Linked DNA regions of Neodiprion lecontei. The main gene of each other region encodes a partner of the protein of the gene in region 2 in a complex. Links are inferred from orthologs where the notes say so. Each region holds a gene or a part of one and is shown on either strand. Other genes may lie near its edges.

Evidence for each region.
Region 1: the proteins of translation initiation factor eIF-2B subunit epsilon (region 2) and translation initiation factor eIF-2B subunit delta are in contact, whole or in part, in a cryo-EM structure (PDB 7D46), measured with the Homo sapiens proteins. The link is inferred for Neodiprion lecontei from reciprocal best matches to the Homo sapiens genes EIF2B5 and EIF2B4. Residues at the interface, in NP_003898.2 of Homo sapiens: Arg163, Lys294, Arg339, His340, Glu357; in NP_001029288.1 of Homo sapiens: Arg357, Tyr393, Pro396, Glu397, Lys466, Arg467, Glu469.

What each region holds. Positions count from the first base shown.
Region 1 is NC_060263.1:22,846,566-22,859,709, reverse strand, and holds translation initiation factor eIF-2B subunit delta, read right to left. Parts: upstream 8,926-13,144; 5' UTR 8,767-8,925; intron 8,461-8,766; 5' UTR 8,417-8,460; coding exon 8,405-8,416; intron 6,365-8,404; coding exon 5,764-6,364; intron 4,910-5,763; coding exon 3,999-4,909; intron 3,925-3,998; coding exon 3,797-3,924; intron 3,409-3,796; coding exon 3,231-3,408; intron 2,978-3,230; coding exon 2,797-2,977; intron 2,617-2,796; coding exon 2,408-2,616; 3' UTR 2,232-2,407; downstream 1-2,231. Other genes in the region: 60S ribosomal protein L19, read left to right, coding at 991-1,317. UniProt on the Homo sapiens protein: Acts as a component of the translation initiation factor 2B (eIF2B) complex, which catalyzes the exchange of GDP for GTP on eukaryotic initiation factor 2 (eIF2) gamma subunit.
Region 2 is NC_060261.1:15,629,760-15,643,099, reverse strand, and holds translation initiation factor eIF-2B subunit epsilon, read right to left. Parts: upstream 8,057-13,340; 5' UTR 7,656-8,056; intron 7,570-7,655; 5' UTR 7,420-7,569; coding exon 6,724-7,419; intron 6,296-6,723; coding exon 5,045-6,295; 3' UTR 2,642-5,044; downstream 1-2,641. Other genes in the region: rabphilin-3A, read left to right, coding at 714-841; actin-related protein 2/3 complex subunit 3, read left to right, coding at 8,740-8,745, 9,120-9,296, 9,387-9,582, 9,704-9,858; small nuclear ribonucleoprotein Sm D3, read left to right, coding at 12,240-12,555, 12,804-12,916. UniProt on the Homo sapiens protein: Acts as a component of the translation initiation factor 2B (eIF2B) complex, which catalyzes the exchange of GDP for GTP on eukaryotic initiation factor 2 (eIF2) gamma subunit.

The DNA.
Region 1 (13,144 bases), on a different chromosome or scaffold from region 2:
CACAAATTGTGCATCAAAATGTTAGGGAAAAATAATGATTTTAGTCAGGGAAAACCGGGAAATGTCAGGGAATTCCGTGAGCGGAATTGAGTGGCCACCCTGATTACTCGTGTTCAGAAAAAGTCTCGTGTATTTCCCAACATTGTTTGCTTTGAGCTCCACACACTTGGTCTAGCAGTGTTCCAATTTTTGAATTTTTTGGTAAAAAAAGTAAATGTCGAGCCCTTCAACATACTTGTTGACCCCTTCATTTGACGGAAGCCAACTATTGCAATGGTCAAACTGCATGAATTGTGGGTTTGTATTATCGCTCATCCTATACCCTATCCTCCAGAATTGACCTCTCCTGACTTGTTCATATTTCCAAACCCAAAAATCTGGCTTGGGGATATTTTTTCTTTTCAAACAAAGTGATTGTTGTTTGGAACGAGTACGTTGATCTCAAAACTTCCAACTTTCCCGCGATTAAAAATGGAAATACTGCTGAACGAAGTGCGAAGAGTTCGCAGAAATCGATTTTGAGACTTAGTCGCCCGGCAAAAAGGTTATTTTCATACTTTTTTTCTATACCTACCAAAGTACCTACACATTATAGACTGCACAGTATTTTATTCTACCTATTTACAAAGATGAACCTATACAAAATATGAATGTAAAGAAACGGAACACCCTCATCAAATTTTCGATACTGAATTACCTTTTTGGAAACTAACGGGTTTCACATGAGAAGTTACACATCAGATCAACATGTTGTTAAAGCATATTGCAATTTTCAATAAGACTTTATAGATCCAATCAAAAATTACGATCAAACATTATTACCGACCTCTTGTAATAATTGTTGAGGACATGAATTATACATATGATTTCTCTCATATCCTTCGTCGAAACGTATCAGCGCCTTAACTATTACTAAAGCTGAAAGAAACAACACAAATATTGCATTAAGGTCTTGTTTAGTAGACTAAATTAATGTTGTTTGTTGGATAGGATTTATGGATTCAACGTATGAGAGTCCTTCGGCGCTTGCTGAAAAAGTACCGTGAGGCGAAGAAAATTGATCGCCATTTGTACCATTCGTTGTACATGAAGGCTAAAGGTAACGTCTTCAAAAACAAGCGTGTTCTTATGGAATTTATCCACAAGAAAAAGGCTGAAAAGGCTAGGACCAAAATGTTGTCCGACCAAGCTGAGGCTCGCCGTACAAAGGTTCGGGAAGCACGTAAACGCAGGGCTGAGCGCATTGCCACTAAGAAACAAGAACTCCTGCAGTCCTACCAGCGTGAAGACGAAGCAGCTGCAGCACAGAAAAAATAACTTAGACCATCTGACAATTTTATTGTATAAATAAATTTAAAAAAAACTAATATACATGAGTGACATTTGTATATCATCACCCTTCCTTAATCTCATCTTAAATCATGCTGAATCTTTTCTTTTCAGTATATTAATTCGCTGCCTGTAGTGTCTGTACACTAAGATAATTTGTGTTGAAGGTTCTATTTAAAGCCATTTGTCCATGTAAATTGACTTACAATTAGCAAATCTGGAATTCATGAAACCAATTAAGGCTTGCGATTGGGTAATTGATAATGACATCTCGAAAACTAAGTCAATACCGTCCTAGGTATAGTTAACAACAAATAAAGGTTGCTAGTTCTACTTTACATTATACAGACAGTGTTTGAAACAGATGGTAGTGGGATTAGTTGAAATTGACGAAACCGCAAGCTTTTATTTGCTATGCTTAAATCTTGAAAAAAAAATCTATCTGAGATGTATATTTTTCCTCATTTGACACATCTCGTTGCACCTACTACTATGTGTACTCTTGCTTTTGTGTTTACAAATTTTTTGTAAGAAATTTCCCAAAAATTTACAGAGGTAGTAGTCATAATAAAAGTTAAGTTAATATTGTAGTTCCGGAAATTGGAATTTATGAATGTTTTATGGTTTATAGTTTGAGATATTTCGATCTGCAGGGTATTCTTGAGCCGCTGTTGCCTTACAGCAGCCTTTTCCAACTTTTCACAACTGCGGACCCCTATGACGTAAGATAATAAGTATATATTTGGGTTAAGAGTTTGACATTGAGATGAGTCGGCGAACCTCAGGTTGGGAAAGGTTGCCTTACAGGATTACTAACAAATTTTTCTGGTTCCGCTCTTGCAGATTCCGCTAAACTAGAAGTTGGCTGCAAAACGGCCCCTGCAATACCAGTACTAGGAACATTTGATTTTAGAAAACATTTATTCGAAAGTATTCAAAACAATGTACATTTTAATACATTTAATTTCATAAATATGAACAGTTCAACTGATTGCAAGACTAAGTTTACATCATAATTAAGGTTCATGATAACAGTAATGTTGGTTTGAAGTAAAAACAGTACTGCATAAATATAAACTTAAATTTCGGATGGTTTGATTCGGAGTATAACTGGAATACTAGTACAAGGTAGGATCGCTAATTCAGTAACTACTGCTGATACCAAGTCAGCGGGGGTAACATCAAATGTTATATTCAGCAGATCCAAAGATTTCTTTGTTTTCCAATTGGTAAGCACAGATTTCTTGGCATTGTTTGACCAATGGTAAGCTAGTTCATCTGCATCACCTGAAATAACAAACAACATGCAATATTAGAAATTTCAATTACTGTAGAAATATCATTGCTCTTAATTAGATCTAGAGGTTGCTGAATAAAAAATATTCCACACAGGATGAACATATTTCAATCTTTCGGGAGTGACATATGTTATAACAAGTTTGTAGTGCCTTTAAGAATTATATTCACCAATTTCATTGTAGACAAAAGAATCTGTTTGAACACGCTCGCACGACTTGTGCGTTTCACAGGCAACTAAGACGGGCACGTTGAATGCCTTTGCCATGAGAGCGACTTGCGCTGTGCCTGCTCTCGACATCACAGCACCATTTGCCAGAATTGCATGTGCTCCCAAAAATACTTTACTGACCTATAATAATGGTTACACATACCAGGTGAATCATGCTATTTCTTACATAAGCTATATAATGTTACAGAAATTTATAACATTTGAGGCTTTTAGAAATATGTCGTAAGTTATTTTTCGATTAAAATTCATATATTTCTCCCTTACACTTGTTGCCTAATTGATTAATGATACTTTGGATCCAAAAAAATTAGATGCAAAAGTCAAGTGTCTCATTATATCGAGCTTAAATGCAATGGTAGAGACAGTAACTTACCTCAGGCATAATGAAACTAAGCGCGTTGATTAATACGTAGGAACATTCGATCCCATGTCTCACAAGTCGCCTCATTTGTTCTTTTCCCTCCAACCAAGGCCTACCGTCGACTATAATAACTCTGAACTGTTTACGATCCTTATGTGCTTCAACTAGTATGTTGTGAATTAGAGATGAACTAAAAAGCAGTACGATTAATGCATTATTTTATCGATTTTATTCATTTAACTTACTAGTTTGGTCAGTACTATTCCCAAGTTCTGGATAAGTAGTCCATGTTCTTTCATCGCGTTTTATATTCATAAAATCTAATTACATTTGGTGTGTGTTAATACAAGATCATTGAATTACTCATATAGTAAAACTCTTTTGCAACAAACGCAATTACAAGTATTTATTCTTTTGTCAATCGGTATCCGTAAAGCTGCAAAAAAACTTGAATTTAAGTTCTTTTTGCGTTTAAAGATTTATAGTCCAAAAAATTAGGCTCAACCAAAGATTCTTTGAAGTATGACATAAACGAAAAGAAAAAGCTTTATGCAAGAAAGTAATTTATAAAAACTTACAATGCATAAGTCAAGATAACATCACCATTGGATATCTTCGATTTTATGGTGTCTGAAATTGCTTTTCCAGCAAGTTCAATTTGTTCTCTAATATACGTATCAATAGCATCTTGCAATTTTGTTTTAGCCTGAAATTTTTCTACATGAAAAACATAATCGATACGTGAACAGATGAACTGAAATATTTAGAACAAACTCTTACGTCCTCATCTGAGATGGTTGTTGATAATTGACTCATTTGCCACTTGAGATGTTTCAAAGCATTTTGCATAGAAACTGCTATTGGTCTACAACGGTGTAAGTAAGCTGCACTTTCTTGTAAGCTAGCTTCTAAGCCTCTCGTAAAATCGACTTGTGGAGGTCGTTCAAAATCATCGATGAGCTGTTTAATCGCAGACAACAACGCGACACATCTTGCGTTACTCCCAACGATTATTTTGTTCGCATACTGGACTCCTAGTCTAATTAGTGCAGGGTGTATACTAGAGTTCAGTGTAGGAACATTCACTAACGGCGATTGCCTTTCACGATACAAATGTTTAAAAAGTTTCACTTCATGTAGGTGACTATCTGACTGGTTTTTTTTCACAATATTCTTAACAGGCTCCAATAAATCATGTGAGGCTTTTAATTTGGGAGGTTCAACTGTCTTTTGCTTATTTTTTGGTGCCATCTGCATTTCTTTGGCAGCTCTTTGAGCCTCTTGTTTAGCTCTACGCTCAGCTCGGGCCTCTCGTTTACATTTTTCACCAGTCGCTTTAGTTACTAATTCATTTTTTTTATCACTTGCACTGGAGACTATTTCACTCTCTGTTCTTTTGAGTATTTCTTTAGGTGGTACAGCATCTTTATCAACAACAAATTCTTTCACACCTTTTTCAATAGCATCAGCAGGAACAATCTTAGTTTGTGTATCCTGGCTGTTTTTAACATCAATTGTTTGCTTGGTTTTCGGCGTTTTTGCTTTACTCTTAGCCAAAGCCTTTGCTGCTTTCTTAGCTTCGCGTTCTGCCTTGACTTGTTCTCTAGATTTTTCCATCATCAGATTTATTTTTCCTTCCGACTTTACAGAAATTTGACCATTGGCTAGATCAATACTGACGTCACTGTGCCCTATAAGGTTTTTTTTTTATTTTTATTTTTTATTTACGCATAAAATACTTTTATCAGTACTTAAACATGGTATATCACAGTCTTGGATTAAGTTAATTGAAAAGTGACCGTCAGATTTCTTAGTGTTAGTTAAGGTTAAATAATCCAAATACGTTAAATGTTATGGAATTGTTGCCCTCTGACTTTTATTATTGTTTTGAATTTCTTTGTTCGAAATTATTTGTTCTTGAACAGGAAAAACTTTGTGATCTCAACCGCAATTTGAACTCATACAGGACATTAAATCTGGACTAATATTTGCTTTTCAGTTTTACAGTTAAGCGAATCATTACACTTTTCGGATGAGTATTGGAAGAAGCCGTTAAGTTTGGTACTTTTGCATTTGTTTGCAACACAAAATGGCAGTTCGAGATGTTGATAATAAAATTTCTTTCATTTCCAATCAATTTAGCAGTTTATTCAAATATAAATCATTGTTCAATAAATTATTATTACTTGAGTTACTTGCTTTAGGTCACAATTACATAAATCACTTTCTACTTTGCTATCGTTTGTCTCACTGAGCTGAGATTCTGGATTTTGTTCACCTCTTTTAACATTGTCATGACTTCTACTTGATGCAGTTGTATAGTAATTTGCAAGCTTGACACTATTTATTAATCAAACAATACCCAAATTTTTGTTAAAGGATAATGATTCACTTTTCCGCAAAATCTGATTATTATCACAAGATCTGGAATAGATATCATTTTTCAAACAAGATTGAAATAATTCGTTATTAAGCTCAGAATTTTTATTGTTTTCGTTAAGGTTCAACGTTATACTGCTTCCTGGATTATCATCAACCAACTCACCTTCAGGTGAAATTTCAAAGTCTGAATGTGGCGGATTTTGACAATGGCCACGAATATGCCAATCGCCAGGACTCTCAGACTTATTTATATTTTGTTTTTTATTCAAGCTCTGATCATTTGAGACAGTGTTTGAAGTACAAGTTTTTTCGTAGATTGATGGTGTACTGCTCCCTCTAGAAGTGCTCTTACATGCATCATCAAGGACGGCTTTTGACGCTTGTTTTTTTAATTCAGAAGGCAAGAAATTAGGTTTGTTATAATTTGTCACCGCACTTTGATTAAACTTCTCATACTCCGAGACATCACTCAAGGATAGATTATTGATTGATAATTCGGATTCTATTTTAGATTCAAGCGTATCCTTGTCAGTTTGCAGTGCCTGACTTGGATCCTTGGCTAACTTGGCTTTCTTTTTTTTTCGTAACCTTTTGGCTTTTGATTTGGTAAGTACATCAGTTCCCTCTATGATGATATTTTGTTCTGTATCTAAGTGACTTAGCGATGAGCTATCATTTGCTGATTTACGTGCAGCAATAAGACGCTTACGACGTAAATGTCTTGCTTTGGAGCGACTGACCCGTTGTTTTGCTTCTTCAGTTGACTAAAAATTGCATTAGAGTAAACAAATAAGTAGCCTGAGGATATTGAACCTTTACTTACTTATAGATAACATATAAGATAACAGCACACCTTCTGACACAGAAATTTTGTGAGGAAGCAAAATACATATTTAAGATTAGTGCTATTCTACAAAGTAACCAATGATCAAAATAGTAACATTTTAGTAAAATTGATGTAAAAATATGAAAGATGATGTATTTAAAATGATGCTTGTTAAACACTCATATACATCTTACATTCGCGCTCAAATCCATCAAATTAAAAAATTTCATCAACAGGGGCCATACTAAACAAGTTGAAGGAAAATTTTGTAACATATTTGGTTGACCAAAACACAATCAGGGATTCTGAGCATGACATCTGTTCTACCAATACAGTTGGGTTTTCAAAAGGTCGTGGCTATATAAGTTCAGAAAGTAAGTCAGGCTTCATACATAAGCTATAACGAGAAATTTGATGAAAATTGTGGGTGACATTGTTTTTCAACAAATACGGCTTCAAAGCTACTGTGATAATTTTATTTCATAAGATAAATAGTTAGGTCGAATTATAGGTATTAAACTAAACTTAACGAATTTTATTAATTATAATTGAACTGACCCAGTGTCTCCATCAATCCACATTCTTCAATAGATTTCCGCAACGAAGCATTAAATTTGAGCCACGTAATTTAGAAATATAAAAATGTCTGAGTAATATTCATATTATATAAACATAAAATTCTTAATACTTTCACCCTTACACATGTAATTTTACGGATTTTTAAATCGGGTTCAATATAAATTATTTTCTTCAGAATTGGTCTGGTGACAAAAATGTCCATAATATTAATAAAAAAGCGGTTATGAGATATACATGAGCTGCAGATAAACCATGAAAACCCTGTTACATCATACTCTGCATATTAGAGTGGAGCGAAGCAAAATTTTTTATTATTAATTGTATTGTACTACTACAAATTGTGTTATTACAGGTAATTTGCCATCAATTGTAAATACAATAACTCATCACCTAATCTTTGTTGTCTAAACCAGATACGTGGAATATGATGTTCCAATGCTTATTGTTGGTGAAAGAAAAATATTTAAAAATGGAGAGTAAAACAAAGTCATCAATAATTTTTTGAAATAAATCTGTAGAATTATTACAATGATTTGAGGGGAAAAATTGCCAAAGACACTATAATAGTAGATTGTTTACCAAGGAAGCAAAGTAGGTAATTTCATACGCCAAGCACAAATTTGCAATATGTCTGCACAATGCAAAAAACTTTTGTAACATGTTGCAATAGACAAAAGAAATGGAATGTTTCGCTCTATGTTATTATGCACAGCATGAATCTGAATATGCAATTGCGATTAATTACAGCATTCAAAGAAAATAGTATTACGTTGAAGACTTAGGCTTGCAACTCTACAAGATTGAAATAATGCAGTTAGGTTATAAATCGGAGCTGCAAGCCAAACTTTAGATTAATGAGAAAATTCACAGCATGTCTAGCAGTTGAGTAATGCCAAATTCTCTGAAATTTTCAGATCTTACAGAACCCAATTAGACTGAATAAAAATGCCGTCTTTTATACTGCTCAAGTATGTCGATCATACAATGTGGAATGGATGTGTAACTTGTATGCATTTGGAAATGTGCATTTTGGTATGGATGATTTGTGCAGAAGATTTGTAGTCGTGTGACTGAGGAGGCTCACCATATAATTATTGTATTTTACTATAGGCGCTGATGTGTTTTTTGTTTTTGTTATTTGAGTTCGCATGTAATTTGAATCAGAAAAGCTGCCGGATTTTAAAAGGTAATCCAGTTTGAAGGGCTATTTGATCACAATCAATGAAATAACATGCAGCAAATGAAACAGCTCAATCATATCGTATTGAGAAACCGAGAATTGATAATTACATGATGTAAATACAAAACTGTGAAATTCTATAAATGATACAAACTTCTATTTGCAAATTTACCCTGACCGCTAGACACCCTGCTTACTCTACTGTAAGCTATTGTATACCTGCTGCTCCATCGTCACTTTATCAATGGTCAGACTTGGATACAAATAGTGCCCGTCTATGAAAACGATATAGAAATATCAAAACTTGTTGTAAGAGCTAACTGGTTTGAAAATGAGAAACAAGAGATAATTGGCCTCGAAAATAGACACAAGTATCTCACAAAAAAGACAATTAAATGGACTGAAGATTGTTGAGCAACTTTCGGTCAACGTAACACGTGCTGTGACGAAAATTACTATTGCATTATATTGCAAATAATTTCTAACCTATCGCGCGACAAATTGTATTTGAATTTTATAAGTTTGGATAAAGAAATTAACATTTTATGTAGAGGTGAAATTAGATTATAGTGGCATCTTACCTTGGTTAACGATACACGTCAAAACAAATTCGTGACTTTTTGGGAGTATGAAATTTTTACGGTTATGACGAAGACTTTGCGCATATGTTTGCCCACTTTCACAGGCGTCGACGCTACTAGACCTTGGACGTTGACTGAAGAATATAAAGACAGTTGCCTTCAGTTGCCTTTATGGGCTTTGGTGTGACAACCGAAAATCGTCGTGCGCTTGCGCCCCCTGAGATGTTCCAACGACAGTAAGTTGAGAACTTATTGCAGAACATCAGAGTTGTCGATTTAGACACGATGCTGGCTGTATTCACCTTCCGAGTAACACAGTCTTGGCAATGGTTAAGCCCAAGCCAGTACTTAGCCTGTGTGTACGTACCGACTTGCAGCGTTACCGACTTGTCGGCGATACAAGAAATTAACAATAAGAATAAATAGCTTCAAAAATTTGTAGCAAAACAGTGATTTAATTGAAGTATAGATACCCGCAGAAAGAACGTATACGTAATGATGCAGAGACCAAAAAGTATATCTGTATATGCGGTCCATGTACGATATTAATATATGTCGGAGTATCACAAATCTTGTTTAATAATTCCATTTTAAAATGTATTTAGTCTTTAAGAATAAAACGATATTTCATTTGAAATTAAACTCTCGATGAGTCCACCGTATCAAGCATCAAGCGTTATTAGCAAGCTACGAGTATAGCTGAATGACGGAATCTTAGCAATAAACAAATGGTTTGTTGATAACAACGCATAGACGAAATCGACAGTCACGGGTTAGCTAGCGAGCATACCGGACGTGTTCGGGATCGTCACGCTCAAATATGAATGATCCACGCCAGAATGAACACTTTACATCTTCTCCGCCTTTCCGAGGCTTTACTTCGACATATATATATGATCCATTTATGATTAATACGTGATGCATACTGTGAATTTGATAATTTTCCAGGAGACAAACTACATTAACTACAATAATACGTCTATGATATGAAAATAGAAGAATTATTCATTTCGAACTGAGATTCTATTCGACACGCGCACGACGTATTCCATAACATTAATATTCCGATGTATTCCATAACATAAATATTCATAAATATTCCGACAACTTTTCATTTGCTCTCTCGATCTTGGATTTTCGTAGGCATAGAATCGAAACGCTGTTTTAGCTAGTCGCAAGTGAAGTATCTACGTTGGGTAGAGAAGCTGAATAGTTTTTCGAAAAGTGTTCGGATGGAAAAAAATTCAGAGTAACTGTAATACATCACGGATGCGCCAATTTTGATTGATGAAATGGATTCTCCGTACATGAGACAGTATTTAACGCAGCGTAGTGATTTAAAGACCTAAGAAGGTGACAGGAAAAAAAGGAACGAGGCTTCTTAACGCTTCGAGTGTATTTTAACACACATTTGAAAGATACGAGCAAAATTTTTCATCATCCAACTGTCGCAGAACGGCAGCGTTATTAGCCGACCCGTTCACTGAAGAATATATCTTCAGTCAACGGCTGACCATCGAAGGGCCTGGCCGCTTGAGTCTGGAATCGGCAGGAGAGATGAAGTGTGTATTTCTTGTGTGAAACGTGAAAACTAAAAGCATTATTCATCATATCATATCATCATACATCATACATCGTACATCGTACATCATACATCATACATCATACATCGTACATCATACATCATCATACATAGTATCAAAGTTCGAAACCATAGTTTGGATGTCGGACGTTCAGAAAGTGACGTCACCAATTCAAAATCAGCTAGTCGAATTCCTCAGTCTGGAACGAACCGCGCAGTAGAGCGGACGGATGAGAGTCGCGCTCCGCAAATTTCGAGTACCGGGTTCTCAACCTCCCGGATCCCGCGCTTCGGGTCCGCTACGTATTTCGAGTACCGGGTTCTCAACCTCCCGGATCCCGCGCTTCGGGTCCGCTACGCGGTGAAACTCGACTTCCAGGATAAGCGCTCCGTGGTTCCTGGTTCATGTTTACAATAAATTATTTCAATTCGTTTTTCGCGCAACCCCAAATTCGGTAGCTGTCAGTCCGCTAATAAAATTTCTCGACTTCCAGAATAAGCGCTCCGTGGTTCCTGGTTCATGTTTACAATAAATTATTTCAATTCGTTTTTCGCGCAACCCCAAATTCGGTAGCTGTCAGTCCGCTAATAAAATTTCTCGACTTCCAGGATAAGCGCTCCGTGGTTTCTGGTTCATGTTTACAATAAATTATTTCAATTCGTTTTTCGCGCAACCCCAAATTCGGTAGCTGTCAGTCCGCTAATAAAATTTCTCGACTTCCAGGATAAGCGCTCCGTGGTTCCTGGTTCATGTTTACAATAAATTATTTCAATTCGTTTTTCGCGCAACCCCAAATTCGGTAGCTGTCAGTCCGCTAATAAAATTTCTCGACTTCCAGGATAAGCGCTCCGTAGTTTCTGGTTCATGTTTACAATAAATTATTTCAATTCGTTTTTCGCGCAACCCCAAATTCAGTAGCTGTCAGTCCGCTAATAAAATTTCTCGACTTCCAGGATTAGCGCTCCGTGGTTCCTGGTTCATGTTTACAATAAATTATTTCAATTCGTTTTTCGCGCAACCCCAAATTCGGTAGCTGTCAGTCCGCTAATAAAATTTCTCGACTTCCAGGATAAGCGCTCCGTGGTTCCTGGTTCATGTTTACAATAAATTATTTCAATTCGTTTTTCGCGCAACCCCAAATTCGGTAGCTGTCAGTCCGCTAATAAAATTTCTCGACTTCCAGGATAAGCGCTCCGTGGTTCCTGGTTCATGTTGACAATAAATTATTTCAATTCGTTTTTCGCGCAACCCCAAATTCGGTAGCTGTCAGTCCGCTAATAAAATTTCTCGACTTCCAGGATAAGCGCTCCGTGGTTCCTGGTTCATGTTTACAATAAATTATTTCAATTCGTTTTTCGCGCAACCCCAAATTCGGTAGCTGTCAGTCCGCTAATAAAATTTCTCGACTTCCAGGATAAGCGCTCCGTGGTTTCTGGTTCATGTTTACAATAAATTATTTCAATTCGTTTTTCGCGCAACCCCAAATTCGGTAGCTGTCAGTCCGCTAATAAAATTTCTCGACTTCCAGGATAAGCGCTCCGTGGTTTCTGGTTCATGTTTACAATAAATTATTTCAATTCGTTTTTCGCGCAACCCCAATTTCGGTAGCTGTCAGTCCGCTAATAAAATTTCTCGACTTCCAGGATAAGCGCTCCGTGGTTCCTGGTTCATGTTTACAATAAATTATTTCAATTCGTTTTTCGCGCAACCCCAAATTCGGTAGCTGTCAGTCCGCTAATAAAATTTCTCGACTTCCAGAATAAGCGCTCCGTGGTTCCTGGTTCATGTTTACAATAAATTATTTCAATTCGTTTTTCGCGCAACCCCAAATTCGGTAGCTGTCAGTCCGTTAATAAAATTTCTCGACTTCCAGGATAAGCGCTCCGTGGTTCCTGGTTCATGTTTACAATAAATTATTTCAATTCGTTTTTCGCGCAACCCCAAATTCGGTAGCTGTCAGTCCGCTAATAAAATTTCTCGACTTCCAGGATAAGGTTGCTGGGTGAGTAAAACACTTTTATAATATTTGATGGCAATTGTAATTATATTTCATCTGAAATATTACAAACTTGTCACGTTTACAATAAATTATTTCAATTCATTTTTCGTGCAAGCACATATTCAGTAGCTATAAATAATCTTATACAATTTATTATATTATTAATTAATTAATTAATATTCTTATAATATTTAATGGCAATTGTAATTATATTTCATCTGAAATATTACAAACTTGTCACGTTTACAATAAATTATTTCAATTCATTTTTCGTGCAAGCACATATTCAGTAGCTATGAATAATCTTGTACAATTTATTATATTATTAATTAATTGATTAACTACATTAATCCTTACACAATATTTTTGATGTGTTCCTATACTAAAAATATTCATTACTATTCCAGGTATTACCCGAGGTGGTCGGAGGTGGACGAGGAGGACGAGCTGGACGAGGAGGAGGACCAGGTGGACGAGGAGGAGGACGAGGTGGACGAGGAGGAGGCGGGGTGGGTCGTGGGAGAGGACCTCTCCTCTCCTCAGAGGAGGGGAGGGGGAGGGGCAGGGAAGGGGGAGAGGTGGGAGGGGAGGGGGAAGGGAAGGGAAGGGAAGGGAAGGGAAGGGAAGGGAAGGGAAGGGAAGGGCAGGGAAGGGAAGGGAAGGGAAGGGAAGGGGAGGGGAGGGGCGGGGAGGGGAGGGGAGGGGAGGGGAGGGGTGGGGAGGGGGAGGGAGGCGGGAGGGTGGGAGGGTGGGAGGGAGGGAGGGAGGGAGAGGGAAGGGGCGGGCTGGCGGTCGG
Region 2 (13,340 bases):
CCGAACAAGTAACCATTTCAAAGAAAACGCTGTATCTCTATCAATTTCACGAATTTATTGATAAAATTTGGAGATGGCATTCGTAAACATGTATCTGTCATAAAATGCATGGTTGGGAGAAAAAAACCGCTTCTTTCTCAGAATAATTTATTTAAAATTTACTATAACTATGAGATTTTTCGGGGCGAGAATTTTTCCGAGATGTAATGCATATTCGAAGCAAAATTGTTTTATTTCAAAACAAGTACATATTTTATTCATTGAGAATGAAATAAGCAGGGTAAAATGCCTTAGAATGGCCAACACATTTTTTCTTCATTTTCCCCCTTGAAAGTACAATCGATCTCCATCAATTCCATACAAAATTAATATTTTTCCTTAATGATTAGTTGTTTCAGTAAAATAATAACATTAAAAGATAAAAATCACGTATATTTTAAATGGAAAACTGCGTCGTTACAGCGGATGGTAAAAATCAAGTTAGGATATTCATATTGGGCTCAAAACTTTTGTTTTTTTATTTCAAAACAAATGATGGGAGTGGTGGGCACAGTTGAAATTCGAACATTGGACAAATAAGAATCATCCTAAGATACACACTTACCTGTATAAATTGCTGCTTGTACATATTTTCACTGTTTTCGATAGAGGAAGAATCTATAATCGAGTTATTTTGCGTGAATCCACTTGCATGCGCGGTTTTTACTTTAAAGGAGGTCTCATACTGAGCTGCAGCAGCAAAGGAGAGCGTCTGAGACATTGGATAGACGCAATCAAATTCCCGGACCATCGCCATCAAGCATGGCACAGTCTGCAAGAGGATCCCATCCCAACAGAATGAGTAGTCACTATAAATCGTGAGCTAATAATTTGTTACGATGTGCACTATACGCAAGTATAAGGTTATCGCGAAAACATGTCGCAATATAATATTGTAAGTCTCGTGAGTATAATTACATTCCGTGCCAAAGTAATTTGTTTACTCTGCAACTGACGTGAAGTAAAATTTTTGCAATGCAAGATGAGTCTTTATGCTGAATCTGTAACAACCAAGTTGAAATCGAAGGATTTATTCAAAGTCACTCAAGATCTCTGTTTCTAGTAAATAAACTGGCGATGGGCATTTTCTATTAAACAAAAAAATTATAATTAATTAATAAGGTATAAATGTTTGCCGAATGTATAAACCGTGGTGCGCATATAATAAGTGATAAACTCAAAATCTGATTGAATTTTTTTCAAATTTTTGTGTCACGTCAATGAAACTAGGGATTGCCAATTTCTTATTTATAACAAGTTGAATGATGATAAAGTTTAGTGCAATATTAATCTTTACATGCTAATCGAATAAAAAGTAATTCAATAGTTCGCTAGATTGTAGTGTGATTTTTTTGGATCATAAAAGATGAATTTGTAGGCAAGAAAAAAGGCCTCATAATTTAGTAAATGATGAAGGACGTGAGTCACAGGCAGACTGATTCGGATTGTTTGAATTGTGACCCATATTCTCAACATTGAATTATGTGGTTTGATACTCTTATATAGATGAAAATTGTTGACATTAAAGTCTCCTTCCAGCCATTGTAACAATGACAAATATTATTACACATAAATCGATTTATCTAAGCTGTTCAAGATATAAAATGAAACATGTTGAAAGAAAATATATACTTAGATACATATATTTATTATGTATAATGTACACATTAGAGTGGCCGTTGTTTCAGCTTTGGCAAAACTTTTTCGGTCACCGCTTAAGAATGTGATCAAAATGTGTGTGAAGTTTGAAAGCGTTCAAATAATTTTAACCCGTGCCGTCGAGCGATTAAAATTTTAGCTGAAAAATGTATACATGTTTTCGATACCAATCCTTGAATATATATTGCACACATAATACCAATCGTAAAAGTCGAAAATTTGGTAATCTTTCTACTTACAAACATTACAAAGATAATACAGATGGGTATTTTTAATTTTTCAAATTTTTTGATCACGGCTCAAAAAATCTACAAAAATAGGATTTCATATCTCATAGTGTGCCAAGTTAAAAATTCTTTTCACCGATATTATACTGCATGTCTAATAGCATAAGGTCGCAAAACGCTCTCTGACGACCTTTTGTGGCTGAAAAAGGCAAAGGGGCGTATAATTTTTTTTTTCATCGTATCCAAGCTTAAAGCATTAAAATATGGTCAGAAACGTTGAAATTGAATTAAAATTTAATAATGATCAAAAGGAAGGTCGTGTGTCCTGATAGATACGAGCTTCTAGATTCAACCATAAAAATGTTGACTAATTGTAAGACGACTAGTTCCTTAAGATTGCATCTGCTGAAAATAAATTTTTTCACTTTTCTCAGGCTCAAGTATTAATTCATCAACTAAAAGCGAAAGGTCGTACGTACTGATAGATACGACCGTTAGGTTCTGGTAAAATTTGAAAAAATTATCTACTACGGTAATTGCATAAAGGCGTAACTGCCAAAAATTATTATTTTGTTATTCCTGTCATTCCGGTAATTGATGATTCGGATAATCGATGTTCAGAAAATTGACATGCTCACTGTTTAACTTTTTGTTTTTATTGTCGAGGATTAAAAATTTTTTAAAGATTTCTGAATTGTTGCAGATTTTGATTCATCTGTGGGATCTAGTGGTTTTTTTTTTTTTTTATTTTCTTTAAGATGGCTGCGACCTTTTGTTCTGACCTTTTTTTTCGTGTATACTTATTAGTGGAAAAAAGTTGTATCTGCTGAACATACGACCATTTGCCTTTATATTTTCAAATGCTTGATTTCAATTGAATTATACGTTTTGATTATTTTAAGAGCGAATGGTGAAAAGAAAAAAGTTATACGCCCTTTTCCTATTAAAATCGCATTTTTGGTCGTTACAACTTTATGCCATTAGACACGCGATATGTGTAAGAAGTATGGTGCGTATTGACATCGAGAAAATACATCTATTTTTCATTTACAACGTCTACTGCTCGATGGCATGGGTATTAAATTATCCGAGCACCTGCAAACTTGAAACGCATTTTTTTTTTTTTTTTTTGCACACCTTGATTACGTTTTCGGGGGGAGCGCGAAAAGAAATGCCCAAAAGCGAAATAATGGCCACCCCAATATGCATAAATACATACAATAATAATATTATAAGCGCTGTTTTTCCTCATAAAAAATGTACAATGAGACGAGCGTCCAGTGATAAACGAATCATATGAAAATTAAATCTAGCTAAATCGCTTAGTTAATTCGCTAATAACAATAAATAGTTTAGAGAATTACGCAGTATGCTACGTAATACGCAGATTATATACATAATATTGATGATATAACGCGTCATTTTATCACAGACAATCACGTATTATACCTATTATTATATCTATATTATAAAACATAAATCAACCAGCAACAGCTCACATCACGCTTTATCACGACTATAATAGACGATAAATAAAACAATTATTGAAGTTAAACTAAGCTCTGTATTTAAAAAATTCGCATCTATGGTCAAGAAATAAAGTAATTTATTTTAAAAAATGAGACTGTAGTACATTCTCTATGTATTCAAGCCACGCTTACAATTATTAGTAATAAGACTAAAAGTTACAAATACTTCATACTCTGTAAAAAAAAAAAATAACAGATTGAACGGTATCTGAATATCTGTGTCTGCCAATTCGAAATTCCGAAAAAAAAAATAATGTATTCCGTGATGTGAAAATCATTTCAAACTAATCCGCGATAATATTACGGACCTTTCGTCACGGATTTGAACTGGATTTAAAAGTCAAGAAATCAAATAGAAAACGATCAAAACGCTAATATTTAACACGTATTAAATTTTATACGGAGTAAATTTAAATTTGTACGATAAAATCTAATAGAAATGGATAGAAAGGAAATTGTATGTACAGATTGGATCGAATTGAAGTTATGTTACAATTCAAACGCAACAAAATGGGAAGTAACTGAATCAGTAAACTCACATTCAAAACAATAGAACGATTCATTTTTATTAATTTTCGTACATGCAATAAGTTTCCTTGAAAATTTTGGCGACAAACATCAAAATGAATATTTTTTAATACGATTCAATTTTTCCGATTACTAGGCGGCTTCTTACAAGTAGGTATACTGAAAAATAAAACTCCAGAATAATTCTAATCCCAGAATTTGAACTTCAGCATTAAGAAGGAACTAGTTTTATTGGATCAATTTATTTACACGTCCGATATAATGGTTTACACACATTTACGCAAATATACATTTTTCTTGCACGATTTGTATTATGCTTTATATAATACAGAAAGGGTCAAACATTACCGTGTTGTTAGATGATGTTTGTACAGGTAAAATTTATAAAATATATTTTCCGTCGGTGCCATGCATGCATAAAAGTTGTCATATATAAGTTGAATCTTACAATTACTCAAGAATGAATTGGCCAGACCGTATGAAGCAGGTTAGAGAAAAAGAAAAACACTGTTTGAAAATCTCCAATAATCATATTTTTGCCGATGATAGTGAACACGAATGAAACACATCTCTATTAATTGTGTAAATTTCAATAGATCAATATTCAATATTAAAAATTGAAGAGAAAGTTGTCATCACTGAAGTGGAAAAAACAAAATTTTTTAGTAAAAGCACAACAGATGCTCGTCACCAATGTCACATGTGCGTTATAACTATACTACAATGTTAGCTATCTTGAATTTTTTTTTAGATAATTTATAGAGGTCTAATCAAGGAGCAGAATAATTGCAAGAAACATTAGAATCGGATCAAAACATCGGAGTTCAATCGCTTCAAATTCATGAAAAATTGTGAATATCTTAGCCTGTGTTGTTTAAATTTGCTCGAATTCATTTCTGTTACACAGTAGGGATGATGAGGTTTCATTAGAGTTTAGAGCATCATTGAAGCAACTCACATTGTTGAAAACTATTTAAAAAGTTGTTTTCTCTTTTCGTCACTTTTGATTCAGATTGACTGACTGATTCATCCTTATTATGATTTCCTTCGACAAATTTCAGGTTAGTCGCTAGAGTCTTCTTCAGCTTCGCGTAGCCATCTAACCAACGGTTGAATGTCTTTTTTCATTTTCAGTCTCACCTGTTTCTGCATAACGTCATCGTTATCCTCATCATCGAGCTCGTACCACTCAAGAATTTTTTCCTCTGACAATATATCACAATTGTATAAATTTTTGAACACAAACAGAATTGAAGATACAGTGTCCAATGTAGCAGCAGTGTCTTGAATAGCTCGCAAGCAATCTGTCTGAGCTTCATATGATTTGACATAGTTCAATATAACCATGTCAAAATACTCCAACATCAGTTTCAATGTCTTCTGGTAGCTTTTTGACGAAATTTCTGAACCAGAATTGCTGAGATACTCCATTGGTAAACTTAATACAGCTTTAACTACGTTGTAGGAAACTTCGCGAATAGTAACATTGTAAGCATATCTTGATGAATTAATTTCTAGTATCAAATTCTCGCATTTGACTTTGTCCTGATATCCTCGCATCAAACTCTCCATCACTTCTGTAAAAAACATGTGCGTATCATCAGTGAGTGGCATCTCAGCAATCGATTCTTCATCGCTGCTACTGTAGTCTTCAAGATCATCAGAATCATCGTCGGACTCGTTTGTACATGTGTATTTGAAATAGGGTAATTCTTGATCAGTGTCAGGATGAGCTTTGCTCATGGAGATGTAAGTGATACAATCATTTGAATCAATTTGCATGAGGGAATCCGTGTGAACACTTTCCAATTTCAGCTTAAATTTCGGGCCCAAAATACAGCCGTCTATCTCAACTGAATTACCCAACTCACAGCCGGAGAATAAAACTGAATTTTTAACGATACAATCATCCCCAATTCTCACTTTACCCAGCAAGTAAGAATTTTCAAGTCTCACATTATTCCCCAAGTTACAGCCTTCTCCAATCACAGAACCTGTGATGCGTGTGTTTTCTCCCACATTACTGTTTGGACATACCACACAATCCCGTTCCAATGTACAGCCCTTCCCAAGAATCGAACTGTTGTGTTTATACGTACATCTACGTAGGTACAGAAAATACATACAACTTGGCATCATCTCAATGGTTAGGGGATATCCACGTTTTTGAAGTATGTCTCTGATTAAAGTATTGTAATCCCTCCAAGATGTGACTGGCAGCGCGTATTCTTCTGGATCTAATTTTTGCCAGTAAATTCGAGAGTCTAGAATTTCCTCGTTGATTAAGACTCCTCGGATAAAGTCTTCCATGGTCTGAAAATGATGTTGAAGACATTCAGTTGATAGTAAATTCATTCCAATGTTTAGAAGGGTGTTTAAAAATTTCAAAACAATTTAATAAACCACGATTAGGTGTTAATGACAATCATAGAATAGGATGTAAAAATATCATTGAGTAACATTTTGACGTTAGTATCATTGTAACGATGTATGTCGAGAAAAATCGTTACATTATATTTTCAACACTTGATTCCTGCAAAGTTATTCTGGAATTGCAACTTATTTACTTTTTCCTCAATGTTTCGTAACGTTGACATCGCTAACTTCAGCCTTGTTCAAAAACACAATCCAAACTGACAAGTCTATTGTATTTCTAAACCCATTCTATAATATCGTATTAGAAGCTTGCGTATCACATCAAACTTTTTCAGCAGAGTTATGTGATTCTGAAAAGAACTTACCTGAAAATCGAAATTGTCAGAAAACAAGGGAAGCACCGACGCTGAGCAAAGGTAAATATGAGTTTCCAGTAAACCGCTGTGTATTCGGACACAATCGTGATCCAAGAACAACTGTAATTCCAATTTGACTTTTCTGTCTTTCTCTGAGAGTTTTTGATGAAACAAAACTTTGTTATTCGAGTTATCAGCGGCAATTAGACAAGTTTTGTTTTCTTTCACCGGAAAATTGTTAGATCCTAAATCACGGAATATCAGCGTCATCGCAGCGCCTTTGTCTTGTTTTGACTTAAATCGATGCCAGTCGAGAAGCCTCTTTAGATTGGCATTGGTGAAAGCGTCGCCTCTGATCAGGATGAAGTCGCCGCGAATGATACCTTTGCTGTCGATGTCTCGGAGAGCATCGCCAAGCGAACGGCAGCCATCAGAGACGATTAAATGTACATTGATAAGACCCTTGTAATTTTGACTTTGTACGTACGATCTCAAAGATTCAACGTGGTTACTGCAGTACAAAAATAACTCCTGTATATCGTTCCTCACTAAAGTTTCTGTCAGGTATTCCAAAAGTGGAATATGAAAAACCGGCATCAACGCACTTGGGTAGAGCGTCTGCATGGGATGTAAATTTGTGGAGAAGTCATCTGCTAGAACAACAGCCTGTCGGACCTCTTCTTTCTTCAACTCCGTCGCTGCCATTTTATTAGATATTGTACAACCGGTGATTAACCCACAACTATCTTGTTAACGATTGTTAACCCTCGATCACCCTCAGTCCATCCACAACTGTCAGCATGGAATGCGTTTATACTTCTTCTAGTTCTTCTTTCTTTTGGCTATTTCCAAGTCCTAAAGATGGCGCCGATTATTCCAGGGACGTAAGATATCGTATTTGAACAAAGGTTATCGTATTATTGGATTATATTAAAACGTACCATTAATGATGCGTAGAATATTTTAAATGTCATTATCGTAACCGTATATCCCACGCAATACTCAATTTATATGCGATTTTATGATCTTCTCTCATGTCGGCCACCCGTATGGCGCGAAAACCTGCACAATTGGATTTTTTTAAAAATCAAAGTAGATCTAGTTTCCAATAAACTGTTGTTTATTATCATGAATATTAAAATTGCAACAAATATATGCTTATCGTAGATTATCTATCGTCCTCTGTGTCTTTTGATACGTCAATGTTTGAGTATATTTTCTTACGCATTTGCAATTTTAGTACACCACTTCATTAGCGTTGCCATAAGCACGGTCTTACATACAGGTCTTGAAACTCATCAAAAGTTGCGTGGTGGGGGAAATACGCTTACGGTGCATTTTTTGTTTTTCGACGCTGCCGCCAGTTCGCACCACTGATATATATATACACGCGTGGTGCCGTCACGCCAATTGAACGGTATCCATTTTGTACAGATTCTTGTCACTTCAGATATATATATATATATATATGTATACGTGATATAGGTATATCTTCAGTCAACGAACTCTGATTCGAATTTGATTCAAATGTAAAATAAATAATTGACGTGCTCCAACACATGTGGAAAACAATATTATTTGTAAACTTAGCATTGAAATCACGTAAACTACAATGCCGTATTCGTTTTTTACGAGATGCGTTGATAATTGTAGAACGTCAATTATTTTCTGGTCATTGCAATCAAATTTGAATTGGAGTTTCAGCTTTTTCCAAAGATTCGACTCGCGGCCACCAGCGGAGTGCTGCGGGCAGCTAAGCATATTTCTTTCAACGAACACCCTAATGCACATGTGTGATAGTCACGTGACTTTCAGCAAGATTGGTAGAGGCATTCTGCGCATGTGTGACTTTTACGGTTTTATACGTATTGCGACAGTATAACTCCACTACTGACATACATGATATAGCGATATCTGGCCAGACCCCACCAGATTATAGTTTGCCTGTAATAATTTCTCCACCCTTGCGGCGTTTAATTTCATGTTTAAGAAGATAATCAATCTACGAAAAAGTATCTGTCAAACATGCCTGTGAGTCTATCCTTTTCAATTTACTCAAATTAGTAATACAAGACTTATTTCTGTCTTGAAATTGTCGATTTGGTTTTCCGCATTCAGGAGCTGTCAAATGGGTGTATCCCTTTGATATCATGAATCATAACACGGGGTCACAATTTAACAGTGTCGTTGACCTTGATCCAATCGACCTACTAACGAGATGTTGATAGTCAAAGATCACTTCAGATTTACTCTTGAAGTAAATCACGGACTATAATTTTACCTAACCTAATTTAACTGTCAACATGCTATTACCGTGTCAATAAATTCTGACGTGTTTTGCTTTTCTACTATTGATAGACTTTCTCACTTTCACATTATCATACCAATTTTGCATAAAATTTCAGGCATATCATTCAAGTTTTTTAGAAAATAACCAAACGGTTGGCAACATGGCATTGCTACCGTTCAAAACCCAGTTTCGAGGACCAGCACCGTCATTCAGTAACAAAGAATTAGATATAATAGACGAAGCTTTGTATTTCTTTAAAGCAAATGTTTTCTTTCGAACCTACGAAATTAAGGTAATTTTTTAATTTGTATAGTTACATTAAGTAATGTATGTACTGTACACTTATATTACTACCACTTCTTCGCCCTTAAATATTCTACAGAGCGAAGCTGACCGAGTCTTAATTTACATCACTTTGTACATCACTGAATGCTTGAAGAAATTACAGAAATGTGCAAACAAAAATCAGGCAACCAATGAGATGTACACCTTGGCTATTTCCAAATTTGATATTCCAGGAGAAGCCGGTTTCCCATTAAACTCTGTTTATGCTAAGCCAAATACTGCGTCTGATGCTGGTAAGACCATTGAATAACAAAATCAAACACATTTTCCTAATTTTTTCACAAATTGCTACCATTACTTCAAGTGTAACACAAATATGAATTATATTCTAAATGTTGTAATGGTTTTTTTCAGATTTAATGAGGCAATATTTACAACAGTTGCGCCAGGAAACTGGCATTAGAGTCGTAGAAAAGGTTTATGGAGAAGATGGAAAGCCCAGCAAATGGTGGCTGTGTTTCGCCAAGAAGAAGTTTATGGACAAGTCATTATCCGGACCTGGCCAATAAATTGTAAATTATCTTCTCTTACAATTCAATCCAATCGCTGTAAGATAGGTTCATTTTATGGCTCTTGTCTTTTTCTGAAGAGTGAGCTACATGTTAATTATTAATTGTTTTTCACACTTCTATTAACATCAATCAACAATTTTTAGAATTTTCCTGCAATGTTGAGTTCAATATGTTTAATTTATTAAGAAAAAAAAATATCCGGCTGATAGTTGTAATCAATTTTAAACTACTAAATGTTCCCTGTTACGAATTAGATAGGATTTCATTGGAAAAATATTGTGTGTAGGTAATTACAAATCCTGCAAACACAATATGTTTAATTAAATAAGGAAAGAAAAAAATATCCGGCTGATAGTTGTGGTCAATTTTAAATTGCTAAATGTTCCCTGTTAAAAATTAGATAGGATTTCGTTGGAAAAATATTGTATGTAGGTAATCACAAATCGGGCAAAACACACTTCAATTGTATTGTTTAATTTATTACAGATAAAAAAAATATCTAGCCGAGAATTCTAGTGGATTTTAAAGTGTAAATGTCCCTTGTTGTAAATTAGATAGGATTTTGTTGGAAAAATGTTATAGGTATGTAGATAATTACAAATCAGGCAAACAAATGGTACGCACGCATGTGATGAACCAACGGCAAAGGTAAAACAATTTGTGAAACGTATAAATATACCTACGCATATTCATCCCACGTAATATAATTTTCAATAAAAACTTTATTTTATATTGCGGATATAAAAATCGGATTTAAAAAATTCAGCCATAGCTTCATTTCCCGAAATTTCTCCGAAATTATTTTCGGCTAACATGCATTTCACGATTAGAGCATAAGTGTACGCAATACATCATCTTCAGTTAACGTGCGACGTGCTCCAAGAATTAATTTAAATCACTAACGCCTAAGGGCTCAGTCTCACAAGCCGCGACGCGGCATGCATTCGTTCTTGGCGCAGCGGAATTCGCGCTTCCAAAAACCTGCAATCTTATTGGTTGCTGGATCTGTGTTGCCGCACCGTGCTCTGTGAGACTGAGCCTTAAGCGAGGTCTTTGTATACAGGGTATACAAGTCTGAAATTGGTATTTAAATACCTAAATATCTACGCGGTAGAAGAAGCCCTGATTTTAAAGCTAGTTTATAGCCGCTGAAATCGCTGACATCGACTGATGTCAACGGGGATGTATGTAAAAAGGCTGTGTTCGTAAATTGACTGACAGTACTGAAAATTCCCTAGGACAGAGTCAGAGCTATCCACGAACTTGGTAGCGCAAAAGAGATAAAAGATTGCTGACAGTACTGTCAGTCAATTTTCGAACACGGCCAAAATAGATGTGTGTCCAAACCGCTCTTGGTGCTGTTTTCGCCACAAAATGGCTGAGCTTGGCCAATCGGATGCTGATGAACTTGCTCAAGACTTGGCACAAGATGGTGGCAAAGTTGATTGCAATTGATTGGACTAACAACTTTTGGGAACTTTGGTGACACGGAGGGTTAGACAGAGATGGACAAGAACGAATTCTTTGCCAGAGATCAAGCTATCATAGGGTTTTCGAAAAAATGCAGCTACGTACACATAAAACCTACTCATATATATTCATGCCTAATCCTATATGCTCTAAAGTCCGAAAGTGTTGACCTTGTGCGACTGCAGCGCTATCTACCAGCGAAAGAAACGAGGTCCGTTTGATCAACGAAACATTTCATTTCTTTGTAATCCTCCATATACAACGGTTCCGATGCCACTTGAGTGGGATTACTCTTACACCCGTATTCATATTCCTTCCTTGAGGAACAAGGATTCCTTCACGGAGTAGTAGGAAGGAGACAACACTCTGCGATAAAACTTGTCCCCAGTTTTAAGGTACCGTAAGTGGAATTGTCTAAATGCGATTTGAGCGCCTCTTACGGAAAAAAGTGAAATTTCCGCTATAAAATGTAAAAAAAAAGGGCGGCAATCATAACCTATAAGCCTCCGTTTTATAAACACACTCCGTAAATTAGTAAAATACGCATCTGAAGTGTATCCACGTAGAGAAATTAAAAAACGGGGACAAAACGCGTACAATTTTTTAGTATACGAGCAGTGGTGAGTGTCAGGGGGCTGAATACGGGTATTGGAGCATGTATAGTATATTATATGCTCTAAAGTAAGCCGTGATGCCGACCCATGATGCCGACGATAAGCCAAGTGGCCAAAATTCGAACTAAGTAACTCTCCGGCCATTTTCGTAAACGAAACGAAAGTGGCTGGCGTCCGTCGACAAACGTTGATGCAACGACACAGACTTCACACGGGTATAAATCCGTTTCAATCGCCAGTTTTTTCGTGAGCTAGTGAGATTTTAGTGTCGATTATCGGAACATAAGTGTCAAAATGTCGATCGGGGTGCCAATTAAAGTACTTCACGAAGCCGAAGGTCACACTATAACCTGTGAAACTAACACCGGCGAGGTTTACCGCGGAAAGTTAATAGAAGCCGAAGACAACATGAACTGTCAAATGCAAAACCTGACCGTCACTTATCGCGATGGACGCGTAGGCCAGCTAGAGAACGTTTACATTAGGGGCTCAAAAATAAGGTTCCTTATATTACCGGATATGTTGAAAAATGCCCCGATGTTCAAAAGACCCGGTGGCAAAGGCGCCGGCACTGCGGGCAGAGGAAAGTCTGCAATACTACGGGCACAGGGTTTGTTTTTTCACACCAATACAAATAGATCTAGAATCTTTCAGTTTTTCATCAAAATCGAAGTCCGTAAACATGTTTTGGCCTACTGAACATTTTATTTCAGCAATGTGGAATGCAATCCGATTCGAATTCATATTTCTGTTTGACTGGCAATGTTTCAGAGACTCATTTTTCTAACAAGTTTTGCACTTTTATGCATCAATATTCTTTTTCCAACGCAAATTATCACCGAATATATCTATTTTTAGCACGGGGCAGGGGACGAGGTCAAAACCAGAGAGGCAGAGGCACGGGTTCGGCCCCTTGGTTGAATCAGCAAAACCAACCAGGAGGTTCACAACCTGGAAGAGGAAGAGGATAAATGTTATAAGGATCATTTTTGTTTATCATTATATCTAGTGCACTAAAGTTTATTTAGTTCATACTTTTATAAGGGATGTAAAAAATAATTCCATGTAAACGTAAATTGAAACCGTACATGCCTGTGACAATATGTGTAGGCAGTGATCACTAATGATAATAACAATGTAAATTAATAAGTATTCAAAAATTTAATGTCATTGTGTTTACTCCCTTAGGACTTTGAACAAGAAAACAGACCTGGTGGAGAATACAACTGTCTTGCTGTATTGTGGTTTTCATTCATATTCCATTGTAACATCCCGTCTAATTGTAAGTCTCAACCAGAGGTACATGGGCAAATGCGAGCATTATTATGAATTTTCTTCTACATTAATTATCTTAAGACCTGAATGAAATACTAAGATAAGAGGAAAGATTGTTGA